Callithrix jacchus: one gene and its partners. The protein of the gene in region 6 interacts with the protein of the main gene of each other region in a biochemical or structural test. Links are inferred from orthologs where the notes say so. Each region holds a gene or a part of one and is shown on either strand. Other genes may lie near its edges.

What was found.
Region 1: the proteins of LRRK1 (region 6) and CWC15 form a complex in vitro, tested with the Homo sapiens proteins (2 studies listed by BioGRID and IntAct, with this or other methods). The link is inferred for Callithrix jacchus from reciprocal best matches to the Homo sapiens genes LRRK1 and CWC15.
Region 2: the proteins of LRRK1 (region 6) and VGLL4 form a complex in vitro, tested with the Homo sapiens proteins (2 studies listed by BioGRID and IntAct, with this or other methods). The link is inferred for Callithrix jacchus from reciprocal best matches to the Homo sapiens genes LRRK1 and VGLL4.
Region 3: the proteins of LRRK1 (region 6) and SNX9 form a complex in vitro, tested with the Homo sapiens proteins (2 studies listed by BioGRID and IntAct, with this or other methods). The link is inferred for Callithrix jacchus from reciprocal best matches to the Homo sapiens genes LRRK1 and SNX9.
Region 4: the proteins of LRRK1 (region 6) and SNX21 form a complex in vitro, tested with the Homo sapiens proteins (2 studies listed by BioGRID and IntAct, with this or other methods). The link is inferred for Callithrix jacchus from reciprocal best matches to the Homo sapiens genes LRRK1 and SNX21.
Region 5: the proteins of LRRK1 (region 6) and RET form a complex in vitro, tested with the Homo sapiens proteins (2 studies listed by BioGRID and IntAct, with this or other methods). The link is inferred for Callithrix jacchus from reciprocal best matches to the Homo sapiens genes LRRK1 and RET.
Region 7: the proteins of LRRK1 (region 6) and BAG2 form a complex in vitro, tested with the Homo sapiens proteins (2 studies listed by BioGRID and IntAct, with this or other methods). The link is inferred for Callithrix jacchus from reciprocal best matches to the Homo sapiens genes LRRK1 and BAG2.

The regions. Positions count from the first base shown.
Region 1 is NC_133511.1:45,351,592-45,355,728, forward strand, and holds the start of CWC15 (spliceosome-associated protein CWC15 homolog), read left to right. Parts: upstream 1-1,245; 5' UTR 1,246-1,353; intron 1,354-2,618; 5' UTR 2,619-2,626; coding exon 2,627-2,757; intron 2,758-3,609; coding exon 3,610-3,722; intron 3,723-4,026; coding exon 4,027-4,115; intron 4,116-4,137. UniProt on the Homo sapiens protein: Involved in pre-mRNA splicing as component of the spliceosome. Component of the PRP19-CDC5L complex that forms an integral part of the spliceosome and is required for activating pre-mRNA splicing.
Region 2 is NC_133516.1:68,852,500-68,856,729, forward strand, and holds the start of VGLL4 (transcription cofactor vestigial-like protein 4), read right to left. Parts: upstream 2,918-4,230; 5' UTR 2,455-2,917; coding exon 2,373-2,454; intron 1-2,372. UniProt on the Homo sapiens protein: May act as a specific coactivator for the mammalian TEFs.
Region 3 is NC_133505.1:164,754,364-164,758,066, forward strand, and holds part of SNX9 (sorting nexin-9), read left to right. Parts: intron 1-718; coding exon 719-822; intron 823-2,359; coding exon 2,360-2,463; intron 2,464-3,703. UniProt on the Homo sapiens protein: Involved in endocytosis and intracellular vesicle trafficking, both during interphase and at the end of mitosis. Required for efficient progress through mitosis and cytokinesis. Required for normal formation of the cleavage furrow at the end of mitosis.
Region 4 is NC_133506.1:41,082,147-41,085,517, forward strand, and holds the end of SNX21 (sorting nexin-21), read left to right. Parts: coding exon of another isoform or gene 1-36; coding exon 37-711; 3' UTR 712-1,261; coding exon of another isoform or gene 1,262-1,380; 3' UTR 1,381-2,750; downstream 2,751-3,371. Other genes in the region: ACOT8 (acyl-coenzyme A thioesterase 8), read right to left, coding at 1,262-1,380, 2,953-3,147. UniProt on the Homo sapiens protein: Binds to membranes enriched in phosphatidylinositol 3-phosphate (PtdIns(P3)) and phosphatidylinositol 4,5-bisphosphate. May be involved in several stages of intracellular trafficking.
Region 5 is NC_133513.1:35,800,601-35,804,303, forward strand, and holds part of RET (proto-oncogene tyrosine-protein kinase receptor Ret), read left to right. Parts: intron 1-276; coding exon 277-533; intron 534-1,032; coding exon 1,033-1,180; intron 1,181-3,139; coding exon 3,140-3,247; intron 3,248-3,703. UniProt on the Homo sapiens protein: Receptor tyrosine-protein kinase involved in numerous cellular mechanisms including cell proliferation, neuronal navigation, cell migration, and cell differentiation in response to glia cell line-derived growth family factors (GDNF, NRTN, ARTN, PSPN and GDF15).
Region 6 is NC_133507.1:8,921,426-8,925,128, reverse strand, and holds part of LRRK1 (leucine-rich repeat serine/threonine-protein kinase 1), read left to right. Parts: intron 1-736; coding exon 737-1,587; intron 1,588-2,017; coding exon 2,018-2,119; intron 2,120-3,703.
Region 7 is NC_133505.1:65,540,461-65,544,907, forward strand, and holds the start of BAG2 (BAG family molecular chaperone regulator 2), read left to right. Parts: upstream 1-1,607; 5' UTR 1,608-1,979; coding exon 1,980-2,092; intron 2,093-4,447. UniProt on the Homo sapiens protein: Co-chaperone for HSP70 and HSC70 chaperone proteins. Acts as a nucleotide-exchange factor (NEF) promoting the release of ADP from the HSP70 and HSC70 proteins thereby triggering client/substrate protein release.

The DNA of each region.
Region 1 (4,137 bases), on a different chromosome or scaffold from region 6:
GTAGGAGATGGTGTTGGCAAGAACAAGGGTAGTGGCAGTAGAATAGAATTTGTTAAGTTTTTAAAGTAGAGTTGTTAAGACCTGTAAATGAACTGTATGTGAAGAGTGAAGGTAAAAAAATTTAAATAGGCACTCTGGGATTTTGGTTTGAGTAACTAATATGATGACCTTTACTGAGATGTTTAACACTGGAGGAGGGATATCTTTGGTAAGAAAAATCAAGATTTTCATCTTGAACTTTACGAGTGAAAAGGCTTTTTCTGCTTTTTTTTTTTCCCCTTCATTTAAAAGTTGCAAAGAATTTAGGGATAAGAAAGCATTTAAATTTTCAATTTTGTGAGCTCCTTACATTTTAAACTAAGTTGGGGACGTTGAATTTCCATTTAACAAGTATTTATTGAGTAACTACTATACGTCAAGGTCTACGTGATGATATACCAAGATGAACTAAGCATTCAAGACCTCTGTTCTCAGATTGACTTATTTTTTTATGGAAGGGAGGTGAGACGATTGGTGGGTTTTTTGGTTTTTGGGTTTTCTCCTTTTCGTTGTCTTATTAAAACTTAACACTTGAGTAGCCATCTTAATAACTACACTGTGCTTCTGGCAGTTGGGCCCACCGTTCTAAACGCTGTCGTAAATACTGACATCTCCCCTCCCACAAGAACTAACGTTTTTTAAATAAAAAAATTTTAGCAAACATTACGCATACAACCTTTGCTTTGAAGTGTAATATTTTTGCAGGAATGGTACCTTTATAAAGATCGTGGTTGCCCCGTACTTATTTGTTCTTTCTTCATATCCAATTAAATGAAAACACTAGTTTTTCCGAAGCCCAACTCTCTAGGCTTGTTGGTTCTAGCTCAGGATGGAAGCAGGAGTCGTTGGATTTAAACAGTTTGGTGTAATCCTTTTCCACGCTCTAACCCGCTAGCCGGGGACGTGGTGTCGGCTACCCGGGGCTTTCCGTCCACGCAGTACCGGAATGGAGTCTGGGAGGGGGTCGGGGACGGAAAAGACGGAAGAGACATTAAGTAATTGGTTCTTGAAGGTATAAAATGATGTTTAGGGTCTACTCTAAGGCACTGATTTCAAACGCCCGCCCCCTGGGCCGTTTAGGCCCCGCCCCTTATTGCCCTTACGCCAACTTCCACTTTGGCCTCTGCGGATTGGTTGTTATCTCCGCCTCAGAAGCGCTTGGGTTTTGCTTCCGGGTCATAGGCCTAGCCCTGAACGCAGAGGTTCCTGGGAGCCAAGCGTAGTAATGGCGTCTGTATGATATTCGGAGCCTGCTGCATCGGACCTCGGCCAATGTGAGTGACAGGAGGATAACAGATTATCTTCTTTATCCCGGTAGGACGGGAAAGGGCAGTTGGGATTGGAGTTGGTGGCAGAGTGCTGAGCGCGGGCGGCGGAGGCCCTGAAGCAGCTCGCTAGGGGCGGAACCGAGTGCCTGTCAGGCGCGTCCGGAGCTCTAGGCCTGCGGTTAAGATCGCAGCGTAAAGGCAGCTCGCCTACCGCTTAAAGCGAGCCTCAGGTCCACCCTTCACTACTCCTCGCATCCCTGTAGTGCTAGGCACGGGTGAAGAGGTAGCGAGTTTCTGGTTATAGCCAAAGACTAGCTCTCCGGAGGCCAGAGTGATAATTCTGTTGGCGTGTGGGAAGGCGCGGTGCCCCCAGAGCCAGATAATCCTGTTTCTTCTTTGAAGACATGCCTCTACCCTTTTCGGAAATCAAGAGAAATAGACCCCTGCCAAAAAAAAAAAAAACGAAAAAACAAATCCTCCCAATTCACCCACCCTCCCACACACTTTTCCGACACTTACAGCGTCTTAGTAACTAAATCTGTTAGACAGTATTCTTGTGATTGCGCCAAGCAGAAAATAAAGAATGTGTCCCTGGTTTTTGGTATTAGAATCCTCTGGGGCGAGGTTCTTGTTTTTTTGAACAGTCCTTAAATTATAACCCACAAGAGATCTGAGTTATAATATGATGCCTGTTGTAGAAGAAAATTGGATCAACAAAAGGTTGTTTAAGAATTTTTTTTCTATGTAACTGTCATTGAAGTTTAACACTTTTGCCTAGGGCACTTAATAACTTCGTCAGTGATTTTTTAAAAATTGTTTTTGGCTTTTGTTTCTGTTAGTCTATTTGCTATTGTGTGAAATTTAGATAAAATACAAACCTTAGAGAGTTTGGTGGAGTAAGGTTGAGCTGAGAATTTTTAAAACTCAGTCATGGCAGTACGGTATTTTATAAGGGTTTTGACATGTCAAGTGTCGTAATTCTTACAATAATCCTAGGAGGAATATCTCCATTCCGCTGATGACAGAAAGTTAAGCTAGGTGACTTCGTGAAGCCCACAGAGTCAGAAGAATAGGGATGCAAACTCAGATCTTCGTGACAGAATTTTTTGTACTAAGACATGTCTGGGAATCCATATTCCTTGTACTGCCTAAGCCTCATAATTTTTTTTCTTGAAAACTTTTGTTTAAGAAGATTAAGCAAGTTTTGGGGAATGAGTTTTAGAACTTATATCACCAGGATGGATATTGATTAATACTCTAAAATGAGAGTTCGTAATGTTGGAAATAACTTGATACTATTTTTCTTCAAAGCATAAAAGATGACAACTGCAGCCAGGCCAACCTTTGAACCTGCAAGGGGTGGAAGAGGAAAAGGAGAAGGTGATTTGAGCCAACTTTCAAAGCAGTATTCAAGCAGAGACCTACCTTCTCATACAAAGATAAAATACAGGTAATAAGACTTTTTTGTTGTCGTTCGCAAAACAAGACCAAATCTGTTAAATGACATGGTCATGATATAGTAGTATGTTTGAGTTATGTTACTTATTTATTTTCATAGACATAGAGTGCAACAGGATGTTTAACACTAAAATTTTGCTCTATGATTTTAAAATGCAAAATTCCTACTAACCAGGAATTTTCATATGTAGATAGAGCAATAAATAATATAAATAATAATGCCTCAGAGAGACTATGCACAATCAGCACCAGTCAATATATTAAAAATGTTACTGTTCTGAGTTGATATAATACTAATTACAGATATTTTAATCTGTGTAAAGCCGGCTGGGCGCAGTGGCTCACGCCTGTAATCCCAGCACTTTGGGAGGCCGAGGCGGGTGGATCACGAGGTCAAGAGATCGAGACCATCCTGGTCAACATGGTGAAACCCCGTCTATACTAAAAATACAAAAAATTAGCTGGGCATGGTGGTGTGTGCCTGTAATCCCAGCTACTCAGGAGGCTGAGGCAGGAGAATTGCCTGAACCCAGGAGGTGGAGGTTGCGGTGAGCCGAGATCGCGCCATTGCACTCCAGCCTGGGTAACAAGAGCGAAACTCCATCTCAAAAAAAAAAGAAAATCTGTATAAAGCCTTATCATGGGAAAATACTGAATTTGGATTTCTCGAAATATTGGGAACATCACAGGAGTGGCTGTTAGTAACCCTCAGATTAGCTTATGGTCTTGTCTATTTCCCTTTTTTATGCTTGAAGGACAAAGTCTCATTCTTGAATTGTCTTCCATTACTACAGTTGTGTGTGTGTGTAAGTAACATTTTTGCCCTGGCTCGTTTTTACTTTAGACAAACTACTCAGGATGCCCCTGAAGAGGTTCGTAACCGTGACTTCAGGAGAGAGTTGGAAGAAAGAGAGAGAGCTGCTGCAAGAGAGAAAAATAGGGATCGTCCAACCCGAGGTACCAACACTATCCCAGACATTTGTCTCATAAAATTATCTTTTTGATAGTTTTTCTTTCATGTAGCAACTGGAAAATGTTAACCATTTGTTTGCTTTTACACTTGATGTGAGTTATAATATTTAAGTCATTAGAGATGATAATAACAAATATTTACCAAAAGCATATTTGCCAGGCACTGTGGATATGATTTCTGTTGTCATAAATGCTTTTAATGTGGGCTCTTTGTACCCACAGGTCCCTAAAACATTGTAAGAAATGCAGTATTTGTTTTACTAAGTTAAATGATTTTTGTTTCCCCCAGAACATACAACCTCCTCTTCAGTGTCAAAAAAGCCACGGTTAGACCAGATTCCTGCTGCCAATCTTGATGCAGATGACCCTCTAACAGATGTATGTTTTGTTTCCTCCTTTC
Region 2 (4,230 bases), on a different chromosome or scaffold from region 6:
TGTTACAAGGTAAATGGCTAAAAAGTTCTATTTGTGTATTAAGTCATGAGAGAGGTTTAAGAAAGATGGTACAGACACATGGTTTATTTTGCGGAGTAGAGCTATGTCTAATACAACTAAAGAAGATGGTATAATTTAGCTAGTAAGAATAATTAACCATCTGCATCTTAATTTTTAAAACTAAAATGACAAGAAATTAATTTGTCCCTTATTTTAAGGGGCATGAAACTTTACTGTGCCCTAAATGAAATCAAATGTTGCCTACCAAGAGTACATTCCATTTTCCAAACAACTTCCCTGGAATGCTGGGGAGCTGATATGTTTAAAACGAATATTCCCCAAGTCCAAATGTTGGATTTAAAAGAAACATAACCTTTCCAACTTTTCTTACAAAAAAATCCCGTGTATGATTTATGCCCATCTTCAAAACACCCTCTGGAGTTCAGACCAGATGTGTGCAGTGTTTACACTGAGAAAACCACTAGGACATCAACAACTCACTATAAACACCACTCAAATTTTGCTGTGCTTTCCTTCATTTCCTGTGTATTTATTCTGGTGTTAAAATAATGTTAACTTTCATAATAAGGAAAATAGGAGCAGATGTTTAAACCAAACAAACTTTAGCCCATTATCCCATATAGCTACTCAACTTTCAAAATCAAAGTTTCTTCCTCCCAAATACTGAGGGGGAAAAGAGAGAAGAGAAAAAGAGAAAAGAGAAAAAAGAAGAGAAGAGAAGCCAAGCCCTCAACTCTCCAGCGTGTTGCATGCTATACAACAACTCGACCTGGGCTCGCTGTCCATAAGCTGGTCCTCACCAATCAGAGACAGGAAAAATTAATCTGCTATCTGGTATCAATTTCCTAACAATCTTATATTTCTCTCAGGCCATTATGTTTTGTTTTGTTTTTAAAATATCATATTACTTGTTGGCAAGGTCAATACATCAGAAATTGCCTAAAAAGTTTTTCTTTCTTGTTGGGGGAAGGGGAGATGGTTAAAAAAAACAACAAAAACAAAACCCTGACTGCAATATGTGAATTTCACAGGAAACAAGCCCAGTAATGGCTGCTGATGGCTTTCTAAAGTCGTCTGCCTTTTTAAAGTGAGTTGAGATGCAAGATGTTACTTAACTCATCAGATGCAAAGAAAGCAATTCACCAAAATTCTCATAACAAGAACTAGGAGTAAACAAATACCTTTTTAAAAAACGTTAAATATGAGATCCCTATCCACAGAGTTTTTTTAAAAAAACGTGAATGAGGTTTCTTTTTTTCTTTGAAGGGGAAAAATACTCGGTAAAGGGTAAGTTTTCAACTGATTAGGAAATAGGCCTGAAGTTTTTAGAGTAAAAAAATAGAAGTCAATCTCCCTCCTAAGTTTTTCTGTTTTCTTCAAGAGAAATGTCCCGTTTACTACTGCAGAAAAAATGGAAACTGCTCCTGCTGAATGAGAGAGTCCCGGATGTGTGTGTGGTTACAACAAAAAATACTCTTCCTGCCAGGCCGAACTCCCCTGGAGATGGCTCTCGGCGGCAAACCCAGGCCATTGCCACTTTTTCAAATCGCACGTAGAGGATGTTCCAACAGATTAAGAAATAGATTTTCTCTTACTGCTACCAGAGACAGCCTGAAATACAGGCCGCGGGGGAAGCACCTCGCGGGCGGTGGGAGGTAATAAATAAGAACTCAGCGCGGGTTTCTCTCCCTTTTTTGGGGCAGGTTGGGGGTCGGGGTGTTGTTGTGTAATCGCTCCCACAGGGAGGCAGAGCTCGAGGAACACCCCCAACCCCCACCCCCGCCAATGTCAGCGCTCCCCGGGCTGCACAGGAAGCGCCAGCGAGACAAAGAGCCGGCCTGTGCTTGCTGACTCCCTGCCCTTCCAGCCCTGCGCGGGAGAGGGACATTCTCCGCTGTTTGGGACACTCACTCGCGAGTACAGAAACTCTCTTAACTTTGGCTCTCCCTCCGTGAGCCGCGGGGAGCTGTGGCCCACAGCAGGGTACAGTGGACGGTGCAATCCCCACCAGTCCCTCCCCCAAACACAGCCTCAACTTTTAACAGCTTCCTACAAGTCCTTCCCCTAAAGACAGTATTAGCGGAAATCAAAAAGAATAAGTACGTTACAAGCATAAAGCAAACTTGGAACGGTTTCTACTTCACCGCCCGCCCGTCCAGCCCCCTCCACCGCCCCTCGCAGCCTGAGATCCGAACACACCCGGTGCTGAACCGAACCTAAAAAACGCCGGCCTTTCCAGCGCCCTACCGCCCCGAAAAGGACAGCAGGCGCTCAGAAGGCAGGCACCCAGCACACTGAGGAGGAGTGGCCGAGACGAGCAAAGGGCAGTAATTCTACAGCGGGACATCTACCTTCGTAGCACAGAATGCCGATATTGTTGTTCATCTTGTCCAAGTACTGATAGTTCAACAGGTCCATCTTCATAAATAGCATTTATTGGGCTAGCAAAGAAAACCAGCTCTTTGCTTTCGCCCCAAAAGAGTTAAGTTTCAAAAATCAATTGTTGCTGAGTAGCTCCTGGCTCTTCAACTTCACAAAGCAGAGGCCCAGCCTCAGACTATCAAAACAAAGTATGCAAAAGTTTTTTTTTTTTTTTAAAAGGCACACACAAAAAAAATCGAGCTCACACGAAACCCTTCAAGGGCTTACTGGTAGACGCTGTATGTACTTTATCACCGATCGAGTATGAAAAAAGCGTTTCAGAAGTCCTTACAAGTCCTTCCTGGAAATGGAAGAGGGTGAAAAAGAGAAACGCGCAGCCCGTTTCCTAGGACAAAGCGGCGCCGGCCCCGCTCACAGCCCGCTGCAAGCCGGCAGCGCTGACATGCGGGCTATGCTTGGCATGACTCCGATGCGGCCGCTTCCTCTTCCCGCGGAGGCTGAGCATGCTCACTGCGCCGCGCGGTCGAGGCAGGGAGGGCTTCTGCACAGGATCAGCCTCTCAATGTAGCAAGTGTTGGACAGAAAGAGAAAGGGGAGGGGGAGAGACTCTAGAGACCAGGCCTTGGCAGACTGGCTCTTGACAGGAAGCAGCTCGGCCGCTGCAAAACCGTAGGAGGGAAAAAGAAAACCCAGGAAGTTTCTTTTTCAGGAGCTGAGTACAAAGTAAAAAAAAAATCCATCATGGAAGCAAACTTCCATGGAATGCAACTTTCGTGAAACTTCTCGGTGGAGCTTCAGAAACCCAAGGTAGTGATGCACTAGTCACACATATCTAGGTATTTTCTTTTAATGTTTTATAATGTCCATTTACACTTTCACTGGATATTTAAATTTTTGATGTTAATGTCAGATGTAACTTCTTTCATAATCCCCGTAACAACTGAGATAGACAGGGCACGGAGGGTATTACCTATTCACAACAGAGAAAAGTGAGGTTCAGCTGGATTAAATGACTGGCCCACAGCCCCCAAAGTAGTTGACAGAACTACTTTTACAATGTTTTATTCCCCACCTAATGTTATAACTTAAAAAACAAGGAGGGGGCGGGGTGCAGTGGTTCACACCTGTATTCCCAGCAGAGGCAGGAGGATCACTTGAGGTCAGGAGTTTGAGACCAGCCTGGCGAAAATGGCGAAACCCCATCTCTACTAAAATACAAAAATTAGCCTGGTGTGGTAGTGCACACCTGTAGTTCCAGCTACTCAGGAGGCTGAGATGGGAGAACTGCTTGAACCTGGGAGGAGGAGAATGCAGTGAGCCAAGATCACGCCACTGCACTCCAGCCTGGGCAACAGTAAAACTTTGTCTCAAAAAAAAAAAAAAAAAAACAGACAAGGAGGGGAGAAGAAGAGATGTAAGGTGTTTAAGCAAATAAGGCTCTAGTATCAAAAATTGAAAGTGCACTTGAGATTATAGAGGGAAGGGGTAAAATTATTTTCATTTTGCTTGTATGGCACCCACCTGTGTGTAAGAAGCTAGTGGCATGCAGCTGTGCTATTTACTATTGTAAGGACTTAGGGCTTAAACTTTGAATACCCATTGCCTAGCACAACCAAGTTTAGGGGCCCAAAAACTGTTTACTGAATGAGTATGAGTGAATCACTGAATGTTCAGTTTTCAGCACATGAAGAGCATGTTAACAAAATAGAAAAAAAAAAGCTCTGAAATAACATTTGAATGTCCTAAAAATATTTTTTAAATATTCTAAAATAATATTTGAGTAAATTATTTGGAGGAATTGTATGTTAAAAATCCAACAATAGTTGC
Region 3 (3,703 bases), on a different chromosome or scaffold from region 6:
AATATGTTTAAAAAAAAAATAGGCCCTAATACTGGTTTCTAGCTTATATTTTAGAAAAGCATTTACCTTTTCAGAAAACAGTTAACCTAAACATTTGAGGTACTTGGTCAGAATGCATCGGGTGGGCTGAGCACAGTGGCTTATGCCTGGAATCCCAGCACTTTGGGAGGCCGAGGTGAGCAGATTGCTTCAGCCCAGGAGTTCCTGACCAGCCTGGCTAACATGGCAAAACCCCATCTCTACAAAAAATACAAAAATTAGCCAGGCATGGGGGCGCATGCCTAACGGCCCAGCTACTTGGGGGGCTGAGGTGGGAGGATCACTTGAACCTGGGAGTTCAAGGGTACAGTAAGCTGAGATCACACCACTGCACTCCAGCCTTGCGGGCATAGTGAGACCCTTTCTCAGGAAAAAAAAAAGTATAGGGTGTTTCTATTTGCCGTATTTATGTAGGTAGCCATTGGAAAGGGAACATGGCTGAATTGGTTCGAAAAGACTTGGTCCCATGAGGGCCGTTCTGTGGCATGACACTGTTTGTGCCCTAAGATGACATTTGGGGTATAAAGGCATTTAGCCCATGGTGCAGAGGGAGATAGAGGGGAGCTGCTTCCTGAAATTAGGAAGACAAAGGTGATCACTGAACTGGTCTTGTTTGGGAATTTTGGAGACCAGTTTGACTGTGCTCTCCACTTGAACCTTACCACATTCTCATTTACAGGAATGGAAAACTGGAAAGAGGAAGGCCGAGAGAGATGAGCTGGCGGGAGTCATGGTATTTTCCACCATGGAGCCAGAGGCACCTGACTTGGACCTAGTAGAAATGTGAGAGGCGCTGCCAGGTTTTCCTTTTCCTCAATCCACAACCTCCTTTGGCTTTCAGGCCTCAACCAGGATAGCCGCAGCTGAAACTCAAATTGTCAGACTAGAGTTTTAGGAAATAAGTGGGCTTTGTAGTCCAATGACAAGGGAAATATCGCTTGTACATAGAAGTACTGTCTTTCTAACCATAACATCAGATTAAACTTCTTTTACCTTGAAGCCAGTGACTTCGTAGTTGACGGTGTTGAGTAGTGTTTCCAATAGTGTGATGAAACCAGGCGGCACGGAGCCGCCTAAAACCCACACAGTATTCAGACAGCAAATCTCTTTGAACATGGCCTTGAGGAGGCAGTCTCTAACCTGCTTTTTCTATGTGGTTTTTTGTTAATCTATTGATTTTATTATTTAGTTTTTAAATACAGGCTCAGTTGAAACTTTGGAGTAGTTCCTTTTCTATTAAGGACTTATAAGAAATTTGTGTTTTTTAATTTTAAGCTTTTTTATCATAAAATTATTGCGTATGTGTTACCAAAAGTATAGACAAGAAACACACACACACACACACACACACACACACACACACACACACACACAAACATAACCCTTCAACCACCCAGAGAGAAAATCAGTGTTAATATGTTAGTGTATAGTCTCCCAAGTCCTCCTCTGTACACAATTACAGGAAAGATTGTTTAAACAGAAATGACCTCACACTCTCCATTTTGTTTTATAATCTGCTTTTCTCATCTAACAGTATTGTGATCTTTTCAGGTTGGTAAATACGCTTTGACATCCTTGTTAAGAACTGGTACCTTGGGCCGGGTGCGGTGGCTCACACCTGTAATCCCAGCACTTTGGGAGGCCGAGACGGGTGGATCACGAGGTCAAGAGATCGAGACCATCCTGGTCAACAAGGTGAAACCCCGTCTCTACTAAAAATACAAAAATTAGCTGGGCATGGTGGCGTGTGCCTGTAATCCCAGCTACTCAGGAGGCTGAGGCAGGAGAATTGCCTGAACCCAGGAGGTGGAGGTTGCAGTGAGCCAAGATCGCGCCGTTGCACTCCCGCCTGGGTAACAAAAGCGAAACTCCGTCTCAAAAAAGAAAAGAACTGGTACCTTTAGGGTCACTTAGCTGATTATGCATCCAGGTTTTTGTCTATTTCGTGGAGTACTTGGAATGAGTGACCAGCTGGCATTAGCAACCCCGTTATTCTTTTATAGATTTGATGGTCCCTCCAGTGATTAGAATTTTACTAAATGAGATATTCAAGAAGTTATTATTTACTTTAGAATAATTATAATTAAAATTCACAAAGAATTGAAGAGGAAGAAAGGAAGCAAAGTTAAAATAATAACTGCTTTTTAAGTAGTTCTTCAAACGTCTGTATCAAGCCTGTATTTAAGGCTAACTTAGTGCCAGGGCAGTTGTTACCATGCAGGAGAACAAGTGTCTGTGGTTATGTTTGGCCTACGTGTCCCTGATCGACAGCAGTGCTGTTTCTCCTGCTCATGTGACTGATGGCTGCCTTTGCCCACAGAGAGCAGAAGTGCGAGGCCGTCGGGAAGTTCACCAAGGCCATGGATGATGGTGTGAAGGAGCTGCTGACCGTGGGGCAGGAGCACTGGAAACGGTGCACAGGGCGTAAGTCCACTCCTCACAGCCGATTGGGCTGTAGGTGGTGATGCAGGCTCAGTTTTGTGTCCCTGATCATAGAGGGAACCTGATGCCTTGAACAGAAATGTGTTTGGTGGATGGCAGTAACGTCCCTCCTGTGACTGCTTAACCTCACTTCACCCAAGTTAAACCACAAAAAAATTGACTAACAAAGCCAGGTTAAGAAGTCTCATAAGGAACACCATGTTCACTTAATTAGGTCCAGTAATTTAGGGCTTTATAATCTTCGGAAAATTTATCATTTTTGCCTGTTTTGAGAGTGCTTGTCACTATATTTAGTCTCATTTTATTTTTAATCTTCATTTGGTAAGATGTTGTATATTTGACTAAAGCCATAATTTTTAAGGAAAAAAAAAGTATAGTTAGTTATAGAAAATATGTCAGAGCAGAAGCACTGCCGAGGGGAGGGTGTCACTATGAGTCCCGGCTTTCTGCCCACGCTGCCCTGTCCCTGAGAGCTTCCTGCCTCCCTCTTTTTCCTTTGTGTGTAGGCTGTGGTTCTGCTGAACGTTTTTCCTGTATTCCCCAGAACTATGCAGCTTTGTCGCCACACATGTGGCCCAGGATAGAAAAACAGTCATGTATCCAGCTGTGGGGCTAATGCTGCGGGCTGCTGCCCTGTTACCCCCTCAGGCACAGAGGCTGCAGAATGACTTGTCAGGCCCTGAAATGCTGGGATCCCACTGCTGTTGAATGCCCAGATGTCTTTGACTACCATAGAGTACTAGAACTTTCCTCTCCTTTCTGTCTGGTCCGCCCTTGTTGCTATGTCTCAACCTCTGGAGAAAAGGGACTTCTAATCTATCACTAAGAATTTTCTGGCCTTCACCTCCTAACACTGTACAGAAATATTAGTTATATTCCATTTTAAAAATTTTTAATGGTTTATACTTTGAATTATGAGTAATATATATCAGCCCTTTGATGCTCAGCAGAGGAAAAGAGATCTGTTAATTTTTTTTAAGGTGGGGTTTTTATACTAAAGGAAAACAGTCAGAATTTGAAATCCAATAATAATTTTGAAGAGCAGAAAACTAAATGTGGAATGACTCATAGATGAATTAGTAAGATAGCACAGGAAAGACAATGGCAATATTACTGTTCATTCAATCCAGATCTGAAAATCCAAAGCCTTACATCAGGAGTCAGCAAACTATAGCCGGAGGGCCAAATATGGCTTGCCACCTATTTTGTAAATAAAGTTTTA
Region 4 (3,371 bases), on a different chromosome or scaffold from region 6:
AACTTGCATTTGCCCTGACACCCACCCTCCCTGCAGCTCTACACCCTCGCCGTGATAGGCCCAGGGCCTCCAGATCGCCAGCCAGCCCAGATCTCTCGCCGCTACTCGGACTTTGAGCGGCTGCACCGAAACCTGCAGCGGCAATTCCGGGGCCCCATGGCTGCCATCTCATTCCCCCGGAAGCGCCTGCGCCGTAATTTTACTGCAGAGACCATTGCCCGCCGTAGCCGGGCCTTTGAGCAGTTTCTGGGTCACCTGCAGGCAGTGCCGGAGCTGCGCCACGCCCCGGACCTGCAGGACTTCTTCGTGCTGCCAGAGCTGCGGCGGGCACAGAGCCTCACCTGTACTGGCCTCTATCGTGAGGCTCTGGCACTCTGGGCCAATGCCTGGCAGCTGCAAGCCCAGCTGGGCACCCCCTCTGGCCCAGACCGCCCCCTGCTGACCCTCGCTGGGCTGGCTGTGTGCCACCAGGAGCTGGAGAACCCTGGGGAGGCCCGGGCTTGCTGTGAGAAGGCCCTGCAGCTGCTGGGGGACAAGAGCCTCCACCCTTTGCTGGCACCCTTTCTGGAGGCCCATGTCCGGCTCTCCTGGCACCTGGGCCTGGACAAACGTCAATCAGAGGCTCGGCTCCAAGCCCTGCAGGAGGCAGGCCTTACTCCCACACCACCCCCCAGTCTGAAAGAATTGCTCATCAAGGAGGTGCTGGACTAATCTAGGACGCTTGCCTAGATTTAAGGCCACTATGGGGAGAGAGGCTGCCCCAGAATGCAGGGGAAGGACCTGATGAGGACAGAATAGCTGGGAAGTTGCAGGGGGTGCTGGGAGCCCCTAGAAGTTCCAAAAGAGAATGTGAAGCAGATCAAAGAAACTTACTTGTGTTGAGCTGGGCTCAGGATGAGCTTTGGCCGGAGTTGCCCTAGGATAGTACTATCCTAGTACAGGGAAGAAGTCTGACACAGCCTCTCCAGTTTATAAACAAACAGCTGGGAGCTGTGGCACAGGTCAGGGGGCAATGTTCCCTTGTTGGTTGGCCCCCAAGCCGGTGAGGCCTCCTGGCTGAAGGTCAGGTACTCTGCCCCTGGAGTTGAGGGAGGAAGGCAAGGCTGCAGGTCTGGCCCAGGGGAATTAAAAGCCAGCCACTCCAGTGGTATCTGTCTCTTTATTGGATGTGAGGGCCAGCAGGACTGTAACTCCTGTCCCAGGAATGGTAGTATTGAACCAGCTAGGTTATTGAACCCCTAGGCCAAGCTGGTACCTCTGGCTACAGCTTGCTGTCTGAGACCCGGGGCTTCACTCGGATCACACCCTCTTGGGCACAGGTCACAGCTAGGACTCCATCCCGACGCCACAGTCGCCCATGGACCAGCCCCCGAGAGCCACCTGTGGGTGAGGTGAAGGGTAAGGATGGTCTCTCTACTTTAGAACAGTCAAATGCACTTCTTTGTTTTTTTCTGAGACAGAATCTCACCATGTTGCCCAGGCTGGTCTCAAACTCAAGGGATCCTCCCACCTCAGCCTCCTGAGCAGCTGGGATTACAGGCACACATGACCATGCCCGACCTCCAAGTGGACTTCTTGAAAAGGGTCTGGCCCAGGACAGGGCTGCCCAACACAAGGGTACAGTGAGTGTTGTGGCTGCTCCAAATGCCCCTTCATGAGCTTATGGACAGTCATTGAGGAGTAACTCCTCCCACAGGAACCCCGCTTGACATTTTAAAAGCACTTTCACATATTCGCTCACTTCCTCAAAAAAATCACAGAGGGAGGAGCTCTGAGAACAGTCTCCTTCAACAGCTCGGCCAAGCAGAACTTCTGTACCTCTGGCAGCTTGTGTTAGGAAACCTATCGGCTCCCTGTATAATAAGTCAAGCCAGGTTCTCCAAGCGGTAATTCATGAAAAATACCCCTATTACCACTACCAAGGGGAAGAAGGGGCTCAGCAGAGAGGACCTGAGGCCATGAGGTCTGGCCTCTTCCCTCCCCACCTGAAGATTCTTTCTCCCTTGCTGGCTTGGGGCCTGAGTTTGATGTTTATGAGGGATGATTGCTGGTTTCCCTTACACATAGCAGAGCTCACTCTGTCTCGTAGTAGCCAAGAGAAGCTGTTATGTGTTGTCCAGTTTTCCAGACCATGACTGAAATCCAGAGGGGGTCAGGAATTTGGCTCCAGGCTGAAGCCAAATATGAACCCATGTCCTCACCTCAAAGTTATCAGTCTTGGACTGTGATGCTGTTGATACTTGAGAGTACCCCTTATCTGAGTATAAAGAGTCCATAAGTTTTGTCCTTGGCTTATCAAGCAAAGCTTTTCTTCATTTGAAATTTACTCTCTTGGAAAGGAGGTCAGGGTTCTCAAGCTAGACATTAATGAATGAGTCTCAATTCTCTCTCCCCGCTACAAGGAATGTCCTAGCAATGAGGCCCTTAGAGACCACTGAATGCCCTGAACCCAATCAGGTTAATCAGAATCACTTAGAGAACTGAAAAATACAGTTTCCTGGACCTTATCCAAGACCTACTGAGTCAGAATCTTGAGGGTGGAATCAGAATCTATTTTGAAAAACCTTCCCCAAATGGCAGTCTGATGGGCTGCCGGGTTTAGATACCACTGCTGTAATGTAACCCTTTTTGTTTAGATGGGGAAACTGAGGCTCAGACAAAAGATGCGATTTGCCCAATGTCATACAGAGAATCTGAAGAGGTTCTGGGACTAGAAATAGGTCCCTGAATTAAAGTGAATGACATTCCCACCATGTTCTAGAAATTTAGAGCAGAGCTGTGTCCCGGCCTCACCCTCTCATTTTGAAGATGAAGATGCCCACGCCTGGGAGGGAAGGAAAGGAGGTGACCTGTGCAGCGCACAGGAAGTCGGGGAAAGTCAGCATCACCCAAGAAAGCAGGCTCCCTGCCACCCAAGGTCAGTGCCCTTGTCCCACATGGCCCCACACTCACCAGCCCAGGGGCTCTCGCACTCATAGAGCATCCAGTGGTCAGCTCGGAAGGGGGCGTGGAACCACATGGAATGGTCCAATGAGACCATGAAGTGCACCTTGTGCTGGCACTGGTGAGGCAGCATGGCAGTGCCCAAGAAGGCATAGTCAGAGATGTAGGCGGCCACGCAGCAGTGCATCTTCATGTCGCCCTCACCTGCAACAGATCCCCATCAGCCCTGGGCTCCTGGGCTTTCCAGCTCAGGACCTGCAGGGAGGTAGGGAAAAAGGGACTCCCATGCATGGATGTGCAGACTGGTTGCTGCACAAGAGCACTTGGCCTACTCTGTGTGTGTGTGTGTGTGTGTGTGTGTGAGAGAGAGAGAGAGAGACAGGGGATAAGCGAGATGGGGACATGGGGAGGACAGGGGAGAGCAAGGA
Region 5 (3,703 bases), on a different chromosome or scaffold from region 6:
CAGTGCCAGCTGGTGTAGTGAGCACAGCCTCTGCTGTGTGACCTTGGCAGGCTGCTCAGCCTCTCTGAGCCTCTATCTCCATCTGTAAGAGGACAATAGTAGTCTAGGATGGGGCAGTACATGGCAGTACCCATGCTCGGTGGGGTGTTCTCAGGCCTTCCCTCCACGGCCACTTTCCTGCTGCTGCGGACACAGCAGGCTGGAGAGCCATGCGGAGGAGCGTGGGCAGCCTGTACCTCCTGCCACTGCCAAACCTCATACCAACCCGATCCACAGATCCACTATGTGACGAGCTGTGCCGCACGGTGATCGCAGCCGCCGTCCTCTTCTCCTTCATCGTCTCGGTGCTGCTGTCTGCCTTCTGCATCCATCGCTACCACAAGTTTGCTCACAAGCCGCCCATCCCCTCAGCTGAAATGACCTTCCGCCGGCCTGCCCAGGCCTTCCCGGTCAGCTACTCCTCGTCTGGCGCCCGCCGGCCCTCACTGGACTCCATGGAGAACCAGGTCTCCGTGGACGCCTTCAAGATCCCGGTGAGGGTCCCTGCAGGGCAGGGAAGACCCCTGTACCCTCCCCAGCTGCCGTCCAGGGAGGGAGGCCAGCTGGGGATACAGAGGCCGTCCCATGAGGGGCTGCTGATGCTGGCAGACAAGGCCCATGTTCTGCCCCCATTTCTGCAGGGCACTGTGTGCGGATAGTCTGTGGGGTGGGACTATGATGAAGTGCTGTTCCCATCCAGGTGAGAGGCAGTGGTCAGGGCCGAAGCATCAGGCAGGGGAGCAGCAGTGTGAACAGAGGGGCACTGAATCCAGAGGCAGGTGCCTCTCTGGGGAGCCTGGCTTACAGGTCTGCATATGCTGCTCAGAGCCTCCAGGCTGTGGCAAGCACCCCAGATTCTCCAGGGGCTCAGGGAGATCCTTGTCACATTGACACTTGTCCATGGGGGCTCCTTTAGGGGGCTTGCCTTCTTCCTCCCCTGTCATCCTCACACTTTTCTCCCCTCTTCTTCCCCTTCCCTCATTTCCAACATAGGAGGATCCAAAGTGGGAATTCCCTCGGAAGAACTTGGTTCTTGGAAAAACTCTAGGAGAAGGTGAATTTGGAAAAGTGGTCAAGGCGACAGCCTTCCGTCTAAAAGGCAGAGCGGGGTACACCACAGTGGCCGTGAAGATGCTGAAAGGTACCTGCCAGGCACAGGCATAGTACACCTGGGGGAGTCTCTGGAGTTGTGGGGGTTAGGCCCGTCTTGCCAGCATGGGACCTCCAAAAGAACCCTCATTGCTGTTCTAGAGAGGCTGAAGTCGGGGAACCCCTACCATAGGCACATGGGCCACATGGGCCTACAGAAGCAGTGAGGCCTTTGCTCCCCCAGAAGGCTATAGAGGTGCTGCTGTGCCAGTGCCACTGAAGGTCTAATATCCGAACATTCAAAAAGCCTTTTGGTTTTAAGCTGAGAGCTGTCCTCACTCCAGTCTTTCCCATTCATTGTCTCCTGGGGCCTGGTGAAGAGACCATCAGTAAGGACTGGCCCTCAATCTCAGGAGACCCCCATGGGCCTATCTTGCCCTCATGCCTAGTCATGCCACAAGTTTGGCTCTTGATGGGCACATGCACCTGCCCACAGAGGCGTGCATGTTTGAGGCTGGTGACTGCACTGGGCCACCCCCACTTCTGTGGCCATATCCCAGCCCTGTGGACAGCCAGGCTGCATGGTGGTGAGGGACAGTGGTTGGTGTACACGAGAATCCTTTGCAGCAGTCGGGGGCTGCCCAGCACAGGGTGCTTTCACACTCCTACCCAGCCCCTCAGACTGGGTTCACCTCCAAGCCAGTAAAACCCCAGACTATCCAGGGGCACAGGAAGACCCTTGGATTTCCAGTGCAGCCACACACAGCCCCAGGCCACCCACAGCTGGTCCAAGGGGTCCTGAGGCCCCAACTCCCAGATGTCCTCTCCCTTCCAGACAAGCCTTCAGGACAGAGGAGGTGGCACAGCACAGCTGGGCAGTGAGACAGCTGACCCGGGAGGGATGGCTTAGCCATGTGTTCTGACTCTTGGAATACCTTCAGGCCCAGGCACCTGCTGGGTGTTCCAGCACAGCTCTGGCCGCCCTCAGGACACATGTACTGGGCAGGCCACCCCTAGGGTGCCTCATCCTCTTTCCATCATGCCTCTACAGTTAGCCTCTCTAGAGAATCATGCTTTCATTAAGAATAAGCCAGCATGGCGCTGGGCACAGTGGCTCACGCCTGTTGTCCCAGCACTTTGGGAGGCCAAGGTGGGCAGATCACCAGGTCAGGAGTTCAAGACCCGCCTGACCAATATGGGGAAATCCTATCTCAATTTTTTAAAAATGCAAAAGTTAGCCGGGTGTGGTGGCATGTGCCTGTAGTCCTAGCTACTTAGGAGCTGAGGCAGGAGAATCCCTTGAACCTGGGAGGTGGAGGTTGCACTGAGCCAAGATGGCCCCATTGCACTCCAGCCTGAGCTACAGAACATGACTCTTTCTCAAAAAAAGAATAAGGCAGGTGTGCAGTGCACTGGTAACACTGCTTTATCTCAGGTGCGAACATTGGTCTTCTGTGGTAACTGAGGGAATGTGAGCAGCTGCCATGCATGTGTGTTGGATACATCAGCAGGATGGGGGACTCCTGGCCTCCAGGCCAGCCGTCTCAGATGGGGACAGAAAACAGGGGGACTGGTCGCGGTGTGTGGGGTCCTCGCTCAAAGTTCTCCACCTTCTCCAGGGCCTCTCCCCACAAGCGGATGTGTGGGTACCTCAGGGAGTCCCCTCACCTTTCCAGAAGGATTAATGAGGGGGATTTCTATGGACCACTGTCTTCTAAAGACAGCGACTGCAGGGACATAATGTTACATACACAGGTGGCCCAGACCTGGGACATTCTGGGGAAAGATCCTGCCTATGTGGATGCTGGCTCCTTGGGGTGCTTCTTCCTCAGGGCGGATGTGGCCCCTGTTCACTGACCCCAAAGGCTGGGAGAAGCCTCAAGCAGCATCATCCTTGCAGGCCTCTCTTTCTGAACTTGGGCAAGGTGATGCGGTCTGTCCTGACCCGGTGTGGTCATAGAAGGGGCTTCCAGGAGGGATTGTTTGCAACCTGCTCTGTGCTGCATTTCAGAGAACGCCTCCCCGAGTGAGCTGCGAGACCTGCTGTCAGAGTTCAACCTCCTGAAGCAGGTCAACCACCCACATGTCATCAAACTGTATGGGGCCTGCAGCCAGGACGGTAAGGCCAGCTGTAGGGTGGGATGGGCAGCCCTGCACCCAGGCTGGGGGCTCCAGGCAGCCCTCTTCTCCCTCTTTCTCCCTTCTCTGGCTGCTCCTGCCCTGTTTCCTGTTCTCCCACTTCCTGGAAGCCTGGCTCAGGCCCCAGCCTGGAGCTTGTGTCTAGCTGAGTCCACTGACTGAGGGAGCACTTTTCATCAGAGGAGCCCGGTGCTAGAGGCACTCCCTGAGCTTGCAGGGCTGCTCAGAAGTCTCTGGTGTAACATCCCAGGTGTCCTCACCCAGTTCCAGGCTGAGCCTGCAGGGCCCAGGTACTCGGGTACCCTGAGTACCACAGGGCACTAGGTGTGCTGTGACCCCAGGTGACCCCAACCCCACCCTGCATGGCAGGAGCATTGTCACCATTTCTCAGATAAAGACCCAGGAGACTGCCCTGGTTTGTTGGTTTTCCAAACCA
Region 6 (3,703 bases):
ACCATCAGCTGGACCGCAGGCATCTCAGACAGATGTAAGCCGGGATGAGGGCTCAGCAGGCTGAGACAGGCCCCCATAAGAGGGTTAATAGGACACGGTTTCTTCCAGAATTAGTTCAGCAACACATGATGTCCACCTGGGGCAGGAGCCAGGTGGAGTCACAGGGCCACAGAGATAAAGGAGACCAAGCCCTTCCCTGTGCCAGGCCAGTGCCATGGGGATGCTGGTGGGAAGGGGGCCCATCCTCATGGAACACTCCACCTGGTGGGGTGGCAGGCAGGACTAGGAGGCAGTGCACAGATGCCTGCCATGGCCACACTGCTGTCACGTGAAGCAGCACCCAAGAAAGGGCAGGCACCAGGTCCTGCCAAGGAGGTCTCAGTGGCCTCAAGGAGAAGGCAGCTCCCTGCTGCTCACCCTGCAAGAAGCTGGCACCAGCAGAGGCAACCCATGTGGTCCAGGTGACATGCGACCTCGCTTGGTGCCACAGGCCCTGCCTCTCGGTGGTACCTTCCTTTCTTTGCTGCAGGGATGGTAGATGTGGCTCTGCTGGGCCAGAGCTGCACTTCCTTAGGACCTGGTTTTCTGAGAGCTTTGCTGTCCTGAGGTGTGTTGGTAGAAAGCCGCCTGCCCACCCAGTGTGGGCGCAGATGAGTGCAGTGCCTACTCTGTGTCTCTGTTGGAATATGGAACGTGTGAAATGGAAGGGCATGACAGATCCTGTCTCCCCCTGCAGAATTCCTACCTGGTCTTAGCGGGCCTCGCTGATGGGCTTGTGGCTGTGTTTCCTGTGGTGCGGGGCACCCCAAACGACAGCTGCTCCTACCTGTGCTCACACACGGCCAACAGGTCCAAGTTCAGCATTGCAGATGAAGACGCCCGGCAGAACCCCTACCCGGTAAAGGCTATGGAGGTGGTCAACAGTGGCTCTGAGGTCTGGTACAGCAATGGGCCGGGGCTCCTTGTCATCAACTGTGCCTCCCTGGAGATCTGCAGGCGGCTGGAACCCTACACAGCCCCCTCCGTGGTGACGTCGGTCGTATGCAGCTCTGAGGGCAGGGGGGAGGAGGTTGTCTGGTGCCTGGATGACAAGGCCAACTCCTTGGTGATGTACCACTCTACCACCTACCAGCTGTGTGCCCGGTATTTCTGCGGGGACCCCAGCCCCCTCAGGGACACGTTTCCTGTGCGGCCCTTAGATATGGAATCCCCGGGCAGCCACACGGCCAACCCAAAGGAGCCCGAGGGGGACACCATCGCGGATGTGAGCATCATGTACAGTGAAGAGCTGGGCACGCAGATCCTGACCCACCAGGAATCGCTCACCGACTACTGCTCCATGTCCTCCTACTCCTCATCTCCACCCCATCAGGCTGCCAGGTCCTCCTCAAGCCTGCCTGGCTCCCCAGAAAGTTCTTCCAGCGTGCCTTTCTCCACTGACTATGAGGACTTGGACAGGCTACACGAGCCTGGCGCTGCCTCCGACAGGTCTGAGCATGAGCTGACGCCCATGGACGGGGAGACCTTCAGCCAGCACCTGCAGGCCGTGAAGATCCTTGCTGTCAGAGACCTCATTTGGGTCCCCAGGTAAGTAGGTGAAGGCACTGTCCAGGCCGTGCCCACTGCTCCTGCTCTGTGAGCAGAGCAAGGAGAGCCCCTGGCTTCCTTAAAGATCACGTGGGGACTCAGCAGGGGCTGTTCTTCCAAGAGGGTTGGTTCCCTCCATTGGGAATCAAAGCGACGTTTTTCGCAAATCTAAGAGTGGCCGCATCAAAGCTCATTGCCTGCCAGAGAGCTTAAGGTACCACACAAGGAAAGCCACAGTCAACTGTGATTCAGTTTCCACTGGGAAAATTCTCCTCTACTTTGGGGTCTGTCCCCTCCCTGTAACTTAATCCCTTAGCACAAACTGCACGTCTGTAGCCTCCCTCCCGCGCCTTTCTGCACATTGGCCCCACTCCCCTGAGAGCGTGGCTGCGGACAAAAATGCTTCCCCTTCTGGGTTTTGGTTTCTTAGGCACGGTGGAGATGTTATCGTCATTGGCCTGGAGAAGGATTCCTGCACCCAGCGGGGCCGAGTCATCGCCGTCTTAAAAGCCCGAGAGCTGACTCCACATGGGTAAGGCTGAGGGGCAGCTCCTTTAGGACCCAGGCAGCAGCATGAGCACGGAAGGCCCCCGCAGCCAGTTCCCTCACTGTCCATTCTCACAAACAGTGGATCCACCAATGTGGCCGTAAGGCAAAGTGGGGACAAGATGGGGTCCCCCAGGCAGCCCCTAGTGGCTCTGCACTGGCCATGGCTGCCTATTTCTGGAGTACCCAGTGTACCTGTAGCTCAGGTACCCTACCTAACAGATGCCTCCAGAGCCAGAGCTCAGCTGCAGCTGAAATGCAGAGGCATCCAGGCAATTGGTTCCCTGTTCTTCCTGCCAAGCAGGAAACCCTGCCCAAGGTGCCCGTCTGCCCACACAGCACCTGATGGAGCCTGCAGAATACCCATCTCCAAGCCTGGGTCTCACCTCCTGCCCTTCCTGGGCTGAGGCATGGTTCAGTATACCCATCTATGGGTGGGTACCCCCACGAGGCATGCCAGTGTCCTCTGCAAGGGTGTACTGGACAGAGCGGCCTGTCCAGGACATGGTCTATGTGGCTGGAGTGATGTGAGGCTGTGCCAGCTGCAGCTCCACACCGTGTTTACTCCCCTCACTTTGACAACTGAGCCCCACATGGCAAATCTCTCTTATGAGAAGCCCTCAAGTGTGTGTGTGTGTGTGTGTGTGTGTGTGTGTGTGTGTGTGTACCTTGGAGCTCTTCCATTTTGCACTAGGCCTGTTTCCCTGCAGCATGCGTTATCCCCATCCGTGGGCAAGTGGGTTTTTATTTCATCTGGAGCATAAGAGGGTGAAGAAACCCTGGTCAGTGTGTTTCTCCCAGAGCGGGACCATGACCAAGGCAGCAACCATGACATCCCACTCCCGTGCCCACCAGCTTTGAACCTTTGCAGTGAGTCCTGGGCCAGTGACCCTTGCTCTGTAAGTGATTCTGGAAGCAAGATCTGGATGTGCTCCTGAGCTCTGGTGGAGCCCGTGGATGGCAGCCAGGAGCTGATGGAGTTGCCAGCTTGCAGGTCGGGCTTCTGGAGGAAATGGGTGTGCAGCACCCAGGTCCTTGGCGCACCTGCCATTACCATCCTAACCTTTAGCTGTTGCTGCTTTTCTGTCCCCTAAAGCCAGATTTTACCTTTTTCCCACCACAGGGAGAAAGAGGCCCCAGAAGCCAGTCTAAAGGGGGCCCTGGCAAGGCCATGTGGAGTAGAGGCCTCTGGACATCCCAATTTGCAGGAGCGCCTTGGCGCTGTGCAGGCCACACACACACAGCACAGAGGAGGAAGGGCAGTTAGTAGGTGCTCAGGGTGGGGCACCCCCAGGGCAGGGAGGCCACACTGTGGCCCAAAAGGAAACTTGCTGCGCATCTACCGGTCCTGCAAAACTGTCCAGTTTCCAAAAACGTACTGCTGACTGGGGCAGTAGGTTTCCCATGTAGTATATGATCCTGCATTTCCTAAGGAGAGAAGAATCACAGGGAGCTTAGTGGCAAGGGAGTTGAGTTAAATGCGGTCATGAGCCATTCACAAGCAGACATTTGGGTCGAGGGTGTTTTCAAGACCCTTTGGGGACCGAGTCAAGGATGCCTGATCTGATTG
Region 7 (4,447 bases), on a different chromosome or scaffold from region 6:
TAGGGAAGAGAGTTCCAGGTGGAAGAGAGTAAGGTGCAGACAGGAGCTTAGCATGTTAAAGGAAAAGCAGGAAGGCCAGTATGGCTGAAGCAGGATGAGTTAGGAGAGTAATATGAAATGAACTCCTTGAGGTTTTTCTGATTACCTTGGCTTTTACTCTGAGGTGAGGAGCCATTGAGAGTTTCTGAGAATAAATGGTATGATCTCCCTTATTTAGGATTGCTGTAATTGCTGCACTGAGATAATATGTACATGAGAGACAAGAGTAGAAGCAGGGAGACCAGAGAGGAAGTTATTGTAGTACTCCAAGTGCAATCTTACCAGGTAGCTTGAACCAGAATGGTGGGGTATAATTGGGAAGAATCTAGATAGATTCTGAAGGTAAAATTGATGGGATTTACTAATAGGCTGGATCTAGGTAGGCTATGAGAGAAAAAGAGTTCAGGATGATTCCAAAGTCACTTGATAGGCTTTCAGACCACTCACAAAATGTGTTTTGATTTCGTTTGTGTCATGACAGAGTATTTTTAATAAGGTCAAATAATCCCCTACCCCAATAGTTAATTAGGATTTAGAATGAGTTCAGAGGGAATTGGGATCCAGCCTTAAGGGCTTCAACTCTGTTCAAGTATTTAAACTGCTTTGATCTCTTTGATTAAAGGTGGTGGTTCAACTTTAAACTATTATTATCTATCATTTTCTGTGCCTTGTAGATTTTCATCCTTGCAATGAGAGGCATAGAGCTATCAGGAGAGGGACCAAAGCCTCACTTTTTAAGTAGTCCAGTCTTTATACTCTCAGCTCTACTCCATCTTTTGTCAACTACAGCTCATGCCTGACCTAGAGGCCTTCTGCATCTTTTTGTTAACAGAAGATTTTTAAAAGTTGAAGACTCCTTAATACCAATTATTTCACTCAGAAGTATTATCATTATTATTTTTTGAGACAAAGTCTCGCCCTGTCGCCCTGGCTGGTGTGAAGCAGTTGGCGAGATCTTGGTTCACTTAACAGGCATAATTTTAATAGCAAAAATTAAAAACCCCTTCATTAAGCCCAGCGTGTAATCCAGCACTTTGGGAGGCTGAGGTGGGTGGACCGATGGAACCCAGGAGGTCAGGGCTGCACTAAGTCGTGATCGTGCCACTGTACTCCAACCTGGGTGACAGACCCAGTCTCAAATTCAAAATAGAATGGTAAAAATGAAATATATTCACCTTGCTTCCCACATCTAGCTAGACAAGGAGAGATGGAATAGCTTTTTCTTTTTCAAAGCTTCAGTTGCTGTAGGTGCTTTCATTACTCATCTCAGGAAAGAGTGGTAATAGGAAGGTCAGGTGCGTGTAGTCTGCCTAGAAGCTGTACTGCCTTGTGTTTTACATAAGGCCGTTTTCTCCCCATATCACAGGACTCAAATGTCGTTGTTCTTGCTTTGAATTATGGGTGCTGGGAGAAACTAAACGAACCCATTACTGAGCAATACACCCACAGCCCATCGACCGATAGGAACCTTCGCGTGGGGGGAGTTGGTTACTTTTAGTCTGCACGGAGAGGCGGGGCCTCGCAGGGCGGAGCTGGGGGTGGTCTGTGGGTCCGCGCGCGCTTCGGGTAGTTCCTGGGTCTGAGGAGCTGACGAGACAAGCGGCAGACCCGGCAGACCACATTAAGCGCTACGTCTCTGCGTGCGCCCCTCCTGGCGCCTCAGAGCCTTGCGCTCGTGGTCCGCGCACCTCTTCCTCCGGCCGCGGCTGCTCCCTCGCTGGCCCGGCATCCCCGAGCCCCGCGGGCGCCGCGCCTGCCCTTGTTTGGCCACGCGGCAGCCGCGGTGTTAGCGGGTCCTCTAGGGTTGCTCCCGCGGGCGTCAGAGGCGGGGAGGGCGGGCTCCCGCGTAGTGACGGCAGCGCTTGCAGCCGCAGGAGCGCTCCATTCGCCGCCGCCGGAGGGGCCGGTGACCTCTCGGCTGCCCCACGTCAGAAGCTTAGATGGCTCAAGCGAAGATTAACGCTAAAGCCAACGAGGGGCGCTTCTGCCGCTCCTCCTCCATGGCCGACCGCTCCAGCCGCCTGTTGGAGAGCCTGGACCAGCTGGAGCTCAGGTGAGCGGCGGGCTGGCGGGCTAGCGGGCTGACGGGCGGGCGGTCTCGGGCGTCCTGCTAGCTGCGCCGCGGTTCGCGGACGGAGGCCGTGTGTGGCTGGCCGGGGTCTGGGGCACAGTGAGGCGGCGGCCGCAGAAGTTTCCTGTTGAGATTTGTGGTGGATGGACGTGGAGCAGTTTTGTTTCTCGGATTTTCTCCCCTAGTCCGACAGAGGACGCGTTCGATTTAAGCTAAACCTGTGAGGGCGTAATCAGTGGCCACACTCTGACTTACCTGGGTGTTGGAGAGTGGGAAAAAAAATCAGAGGATATAAAAGTCCCGGTGAGATTCCATGCGATTAAGGACTGTGGCAGCCGGGGTCTGCAGAACTTCTAGAACCTTCTGTGTGGCCCCAGATGTTTTTAACTTACTCTTTTCCCGTATGCGTTTTTAAAGGAGGCAGCAGTTTACAGTGGCCCTTCACGTGAAATTAAGTTTCCCTGCTTCAGAGCACTTCGGAGCAAAAATGGAAAAAAACAAAACCAACCCCGCGATCCATTGAGAGCAGATTAGAGAGGGGTGAGGGGTGGGTGGTAGGGTTACTGGGTGTTTAGTGCAGTGAAGACGTTGCTGCCTCCCCTGTCTCCCCTAACCTCGCTGGCGGTATTCAGCCGCTCCGTTAGTTTCTCCGTACTGGGCACCTCCCTGCATGGAAGACTAAGTGATAGTCTCTGGCCTGAAAGCATGAAAAGGTAGTTTTCTCCTTTTCTTGCTTAAGATTTTATTAGGTAATATAGAAGTAGACGTGCGTAGAATTTCGAAACAATTTAATGTTAATAGATTTATGGAAGGACTTTAACGGTGTATTGAAAAGTTTTATATACTTCCTGTTGAATGTTTGTTTCAAGTTCCTGTGAAATTTTTGTGAACAAGTGTAGTTAAAAGAAAATCGTGTTAGGCACCTGCAATCCCCTGAATCTGTACACAGGAGTTGGTTCCATCTTTTTCTCTAGGTTGTGCATGAGCAGAGGCATGTGAGCCAAAAAGTTGGGGAAACACTCTGTGTGTGTCTTTATCTCCCTCCATTAGTATACCCAAGCATGAAGTGTCCGTTTGCCGAGAAAATACTTCAATAACCACGGTATCTCTTAACTAGTGAGGCACTGTTACTGTTACTACTGGGAGAAAAGAGCCAGAGAGGGAGAGATTCTCCACTCACGATAATTTCATGGATGGCAGCAGAGAAACCTCAGCCCTACGCCGGGTTTTGGGGTTCCACTCAGAATTAGGCAAGTGGAAGAGAGAAGTAATGCTTCCTCATGGATTTTCTATGTACTAGCAAACCTGACCCATTCCACTCCCAGGAAAAGTAGAGCGAAAGCAGAAATTAGTGGCTTCAGTTACTTGAAGTCCCTCCAACTGATAATGTTTCTCCTTAGGGAGCCACGTAACAAGTAACCCACACTTCTCCATATCTTAAGAATGTTAAGGGCATGTTCTCAACCACTTCACTCTGGCTCTCCCTTAGAAAGAAAAGATTTTTTCCTAAAGGAATAGGGAGGATGCTACTCCACCCTGCCTTCCTTCAAGCGGAGTCATTGTCCTCCAACTTGAAATGCCTCACATGTGGTAGGTACAAAAGCACTCTGAAGTGCTCCTCTTTAAAATAAAGCCTCAGGTTTTGAAGATTATTATATTCTAATGTTTGATTAATGTAAAATGAATTCTGATTACTGCACATCACTGATTAAATTACAACTTGCTTAATATTTGAGTTGAGAAAAGTCTGATTAATATGTGGCTGTTTGTTTCAAGGCCTTTTTTTTTTAGTAGTTCTAGACTTTTGTAGGCTTTTTTTCTTCTTTTTAAAAAAGTAGTACTGGCTGAAAAGGATTTCTGAAGGTAAGCAAAAATAGAGAAAAAATGCTAATACTGATCCTATTAAAGTTTTTTTGAAACCACATGGGCAATGGCACAGAACACTACACTATTAAAACGAGAATCATGAGTACAACAAGGTTGATTTTTAAAAGAAACTAGGAAACTCTTATGTAATTTTGCTCTAGTAGTTTGATTGTATGTTGAGTAATAAAGTAGTGTAACTGGGTAGAATAAAACCTTACAGTTTGTACTTAGCTGTGTGCACTTAACGTTCCCTAACCACATTGGTCCTATCAATTGAGTAAGAAATTTCTTCCCTATGAAACTGAAAATAGGATTATGCCAAATGTTTTGTGACCTGGAGTATGAACTGACCTACATGATATTTAAAATGTTTGACAGCAGTTCTACTAACTGTTAAAGGTTTTTATTTATCTCTAATGGAATTTATCTAAACACTAGCCTTTTTTCTTTGGACTGCATTTTGTCTTCTGT